Linked DNA regions of Drosophila melanogaster. The protein of the gene in region 1 purifies or fractionates together with the protein of each later gene. This does not show direct contact. Each region holds a gene or a part of one and is shown on either strand. Other genes may lie near its edges.

Evidence for each region.
Region 2: the proteins of hlk (region 1) and CG14315 purify together in Drosophila melanogaster (affinity purification with mass spectrometry, with the first as the bait; one large-scale study listed by BioGRID). This does not show direct contact.

What each region holds. Positions count from the first base shown.
Region 1 is NT_033778.4:6,738,938-6,742,697, forward strand, and holds the start of hlk (hulk), read right to left. Parts: upstream 1,736-3,760; 5' UTR 1,316-1,735; coding exon 1,102-1,315; intron 1-1,101.
Region 2 is NT_033777.3:18,157,043-18,160,066, forward strand, and holds CG14315 (uncharacterized protein), read left to right. Parts: upstream 1-1,658; 5' UTR 1,659-1,727; coding exon 1,728-2,381; 3' UTR 2,382-2,429; downstream 2,430-3,024.

The sequences.
Region 1 (3,760 bases):
ACTCCTAATGCTGTTATTTACGGGCTCCAACACTAAGGTGTTTCCTGTGTACACCAGGTGCTTTGGAAAATCCACTGCAGGATGTTTGATTTAAAATCATCAGAGTGCTATCGCATGCAGTGCAATAACATAAATAGCGTTCACTTGAAATAATAAACACATTTAGCTTATCGATAGAATTCGTTTACATATTGAACTATCTGCGATTTAATTGCCAAAACTATTCAATGCTCTGCCATTTGCGTAGATATTCCATGATTATTTCGATTGTCGGCCAGCGTCATTGGGCCTGAGGCTTTTGGACTTAAAATATTTTCATTGTCAACAATTATTTTTGGAATTGCCGCCAATGCTAATGAAACACATCGTGAGGTATATGTACATATACATATAAAGGAGAATATTACAATCCGAAGATCACTTTCGTGTTTATTAACTTTGACATTGGGGAACAGCGCGCAAATGCCCAATCTATATTTAAACTGATTAAAGAGATTTAATAAATAAGCCATTCTTTCACGCGAACGGTAACCATTTTTTTTTTTTTTTTTTTTTTGGTTACCCAAAAACAGGTCACCAATGGGACCCACTGGACAAGGGGATTGAAAATAAATTTAAAAGGGCAGGAAATCTGTTGGCAACTGCTGGAAGGAAATTAAATTCTGCTTCATAGGTATGTAGGTATATTTTGTGCCAAAAGTTTGCGCCAAAATAGACTAAAAAACCGAAAATATAAAAAGCTGCAAAGACGATTTCTCACAGCCAAGAGAGATTTCTCTACTCATAAACAGATCGCAAAGATAGCGCAGAAATGAAAAAAATATAGAAAAGGGAAGGCAGCACAGACTACTGGCAACTCGGGGAGGAAATGAAGAAATAGAAAAAAAATAAAAAATTAACCGAATGAAAATCGCGGACATTTCGAGCAACGAATTTTTCACATATTTTCATTTGTATGTGAATTTTTAGAATTTTCACTAGCGAAAATTTATATAATATGGCTTCTGTTACTATTTCGAGTCCGGTACGGTCCGGTCTGACGATAAATGAGCGGTGCCCGGACGACCCCGAGAGCACTGGCATAACCACCCTCCCACTTACACCAGAAAACGGCCACGTAATCCTTGTCGGCCAGGAGCTTCTCCAGCTGCTTGGCATTGACCTCCTCGATGACGGCCTCCGGCTCCGGAGGCGCCACTGGCTGCGAGCCCTTCTTGTTGTTGTTGTTGCCTGCACCACTCACATGTCCGGGAAAACTCAGGGCCAGCAGAGCACACACGAGCAGCGAGAGAGTCTTGAGGCGGGTGAAAGTCATCCTGCGATCGGTTACGGTTCTGATGTGCTTTAGGCCCTTAACGCGAACATGCGTGCGCGTGTCTGCTCGTTTTGGTGTGTTCTACAGTTTATAGTGTTATAATTGTATAATTGATTCGTTCTCGTCGTTTGGGGTCTTTCGTTATTAAAATTTGTATTCCTTTGAGAATCGGTCACTATTTTTAGTTGATAATGGTGTTTCTTCTTTCGCAATTTATTTTATGTATAACAACTTTTTGTTCACTGATACATATATACGGGGTTCGTATATGCACAGGCGAGATATATGTGGGGTATATACGAGAATAATTAGATTATATATGTGGTTTCTTGCTTCTATTAATTGAACGTTTTCCGCGGACTGTACTCTTTGCTCTTCAGATTTTGTTCCACTCCGTGCAGAGGTCCGCTCGCAACTGAAATTATTTTGGTGGAATCTCGGTGCCATTCAAGAGGCCTTGCCCGAGCTTTAGGGATCGGGATCGTGGACTTCGTGCTTTGGCGCAGCTTTTCCGCTCCCCCGAAAAGCTTTCGCGTCGAGCACAGGAGCGCCAATCGAGTGAGCAGTGTGGTGAAATCAGGCAAAGAGCAAGAGTTTCCCTTTTGAATTGCAGTTCTCTGTTTATGCATTCGGTGCAAACAAGAAAGTGACTACGAATAGTCCTATAAAAACAAACTCGGAGAATCGCTTTCATTATGCGCTACAACAATTCACAGTACTTTGTATTCCCCATTTTCCCTTTGGTAAACACTTTTAACAATGTGTTTCGAGCTAACATTTTGTCAACGTTATGCTTAGTCTAAAATAGAAAGGATTAAACTTCCCTTTGCTAAGAGACATAACGTGACATTGTTGAATCTTTAAGTTTTATAGTTCCAAAAATCTATGCGTTTATAGAGATAGGAGGACATGAACAGATCGAATCGGTTAATGATCCTCAATAAGAATAAATGTAAATTCTAGGGACGGAAACGTTTCCTTCCAGCAGTCAACTATTATGTAAAAATCAACAAATATACCAAATTTTGAATAGGATCTAGAGAATGATTTAAAGTTACTGTTAAATAAGCCTTCTCGAAAACTGTTGGTCATCGAAAACATGGAAGATGAGACCGGATTTACAAGTGGTTTTCTGTCCTTAATAGCTTTATTTGTATTGATTAATGTAAGAATTCTCAAATTCTAAAGATTGGCATCAAAACCTGATCCAACTAATAATGAATCCTTTTCAACTGGTTATCAACTATGACCTTTGTTAACGTCAAACCACCCTCGCGAATTATTTGGAGTTCGTTTCTGCAACACACACAAAAATGAAAGTCTCGGTATCTTGGTACCTGTATTAATGTTATGGAGGTTTATTCAATATTTTACAATAAAGCTAGGCAAGTGATAAATCAGAAATGTTTTAATCAATTCGGATATGTTCAAAAAATCTAGTGATGCAGTTGCACTTTTTCTCGGAGACTCCCTTGTTTATAATTTGCAGGACAAATAAACAAAAATAATACAGCCTATTTTGGGCTTTCAAACAAACAACATGGCCGCCATTTGGATTTGAATAGCTATCGATAGGTGCCGTCGGCCAGCTGACAATCCATCCACTGCCTATCGATAATATCTAGCTGAGCAAGATGTACGGATTTGTGAGCACACACTTTAGTTTTTCGTTAGGAACGGGACGTTCGTTCTGTTGCGCACCAAATTTTTTCGGACCCAATGCAAATGCAAACGCTTTTGCGGCGTGTGTAGTGCATTCAAAATTACCAGATACCCAACGGGATCCAAAGTTCCCAGAGCAGTGGCACCGGAATCGATGCGACCAGCAGTCAGCGGAAGCGTAAGAAATTCGCGCCTAGGTGGACAAAAATCGATCTGTGACGCGGTTTAAACCAAGGTAACTCCGCTATCCATGAATAAAATCAGCTCTTCCCACGGGTGCTTCCGCCATGGGGCCACAGTGCGGGTCCTGTGGCCAATTCACCTTGAACCCAGTATTGCAGAAGGGGCCGCATACCAAGTCCAATTCCCTGCGCTTGTGTGTATACCTGCGCCTCTTCCGCATGTGTGTGCATAAACATTGACGCCCACCCGCCCGATAAACAGCTGTTAGACCGATTGCCGTCCGCTTCCCCAGATTTCCAAGGCGGTCGAGGCGGAAAAGGGGAAGGCCCCTTATGAGCGTAGGCTTGACGGGGGCGGGCCCGTGTTTGTGGCAAGGCGAAGGTGAAAGTCATCAGCTGATATGGGCCAGCCTGCTAAACCCGTTATGCAGAGCAGCTGTTCGACGCCAACTTCATATGTGGGACAAAATCCCAGCCGCGAACTCACATACTGGGTTCCCCAGTTATATCCGGATAGCGGGCACCTCGCTATCGCAGGCCGATATAAATTAGAGGCTTTCGCGCTGCAGATGTGAGGCCTAATTGAAGATTTCTTTGTTCG
Region 2 (3,024 bases), on another chromosome or scaffold:
TATGTACGTAAGGAGCAGCTGCCCTCTTTTGTTGTTGCACTTAAAGTCGCTAAAATGCGGTGCGTTCGCTTGTCAAAATTGCAGCAGCATTCAGCCTTTTTTATGTTAAGAAGCCACAAAGAGATGACGCAGTCGAAATGGTTAAATGAATTAACCCTTTTACTTTGCACAAACACACACACACACATGTGCTTGCAACAGGCAATACAGTGGCTACAACAACAATAGCAGACAGGGCTTTGTGATTTTTCTGGCCGTTCTTGTAGTTTTTTGCCCAACACACGGATTAAGCTACACCCTCGGAAAAATATTCGACACAAAATCACGCGATTTAAACTAAAAAATAAATAAATAACACAATTGCGCGGAAACTTGGGAATACACGGCGCTAAGGATATCGATTACTTATTACTTATTACTTTTTATCGATTCGCATCGTCGGAGCATTCGCAGGGTACTGCCAACTTATCTCAATTTCCTAAAGGTCATTGAACTCAAATATATATATAAAAAAACGAATGTAGCATTGCATTTATAGCCATTGATTAATATGAAAGGAAAGTATGTATAAAAGTGCAACCAGTATTTGAACTTGCATAAGTTAAAAATCAAAAGTTAGCTTAGGTCCTATGATTACACCAATCTATTTGACCAAAGTACATAATTAAATATTACATCCAAAATTCAATTGTTCCTGTACAAGTGTACTAACTTTTTGGCGTTTCATGAGCGGCTCGTGTGTACAAACATTTATTTAAATGCTTACCCCCACCCCGTAGCCACTTCAGATGAAGCTGGAGCTGGAGCCGAATCTGAAGCTTGGAGCTTGAAGTTTGGAGCACGGTGGAGAATTGCGCGTAAATTCGTTGCGGTCTGCGCGTCATCAACGTAATCGCCGTCAACAGCAGTCAACAGCATCAAACTGGCAGGCAAATGTTGCTACTGTTTCCAGACGCAGTCCGTCCGGCCAACAGAAGCAAACGAAGCAACAGAAGCACCAACCGCCGCAGTGAAGTGGTTTTTTATGATCAGACGAGATGAGCCGAGCCCAAAGCAGCACTTTCCATCCGAGAAAGAAACCGAGGCTACAACAAAAGCGTGTCTTTCGAGTTCGCTAATGGGAACTACATATATGTATGTACATACATATGTACATTCCGGGTACAAAGTGCATTTTGTGGAAACCCTTTGGGCAGAATGTAAACCATTAACAAATTGTAGCAGACCTATGGCCTATACATTTCTTATTTGTTTTAACTGTTTTGACTCTTATAAATGAACATATTTTCAAGAATCTGAATTAAATTGTAAATTAGTAGAATGAAGCTCTTTCGAAACTACCTCGCTTTGCTCCTTCCGTTTGATCATTTGACCATTTTTGACCATTTGCTTTAGGTTATGGCATTTTGTCCATTTCGTATTGGTCATTCGGTTTTGGCCATTAATTTCGTTATATCATTTCGTTTTTGTCTTGCTTTGGTTATTTCGTTTTGGTCTTTCATCTTAGTCAGTTCGTTTTGACCATTCGTTTGGGCCGCTTATGTAGTTTTAGCCAAATCTTTTTGACCAAATTGACTTGAGCTTAGTTCCTGGCTCTACATATTCTGTTATTTTTTTTTTTTTTTAATTTTTGAGCTGGAATTAAAGCGTTTCACTTCAAACATAGTACACCTGTCGCACAGACTTATTGTAGTTAGTTTTGTCAAGCGTTCGAAGCGACTGCAGAAATGAGGGTCTACTTGTATCAAATGCGCCCGGTGCTCTTTCTCTTCTACATGGTGGAGACGACGGCCAACTTATTCGTTTTGTACTACCAACTGAAAGCATTTGTTTTCGTCAATCTGACAACGATGAAATGGGAAGATGTTCTAATCCAAAGCTTTTATATGTCCTTCTTTTACATATTCACAGTGGTAACGCTCTTTGCCAGCATAAATCTCTGCACCGGTCATCGCACATCGATCGTTGAGGAAGTTGTGCGTCCTCTGATCGGATTTGTTCTATATACGGTAATATCGTTGATGGCACTGGGCGATGCCGAGACGGATTTCTATATATGGTATGATGGAAGGAACCCGGATGATTTACTATATCCGGAGAAGCCGCTCCATCCGTTCTTCGGTAGCCTGCGGGACCAGGCGACAGCCTCATTGGTGTCCAGTGTTATCTATCTGCTGCACTGCCTCATTGCGTTGGATGTCCTTCTGTCGAATGACGATTCGGATAACGAACGCGAGTCATCCAATTCCTCCGACGATGTGAACGAAGAGGTCGACTACGTTCCAGTGCGTCTGTACGTCTTTGGCGGCGTGATGCAACGCTGGCTGGAGCAGTTCGACTGGTTTCAGGACTTTACCCACAGTGGAGTCACAGATATCTGATATTTTATCATTAACTTCATTTATACAACTACAAATTACATGATAAACAAAACTTCGCATCGCTTTTCTCGGTGATTATGCAGCCTTTGGATTTTGGTTACATTCGGTGCAAGAAACCCTAATCATCAGCATTCCCATGACGTCAGTGGGAAGCAACAGTTCGGTCTCTGCATCATATAAAGCTCATTGTCGTCAATGTGCCAGTGATAAGCAGCTGGGGCCAAAACATCTACATAAGTACGCGTATCTATAGTATCTATGTATCTTGGTACGAGTATCTGTATCTGCTAGTGCGCAGGTCCAAAGTTAAAGCGAACAATCGATATATGTACTATGATGTTTGGGGCAAAGCGGCAGTCAAGAGCAAGGTGAAGCATTGCCCCGGTGCTCCTGGGTGTGGTGCTTTTTTCATTCATAAAAAAAAACTGGTCCACATGACATGTGGACACATTCAAGGCTATTTCTAGACCAGACCAAGGATGTCCTTATGCCTCTCATAAACTATGCAATATGATTAGAAAGTCTGAATGTTTAGAATTAGTTTTATAAACTCACAAACTTCGGTGGATCAAAAAGTTTGGCCAGGTGAAGCTAATACTATGGCCTACTTTTCGGGGTTATTTTAATAATATGATTATTGCTG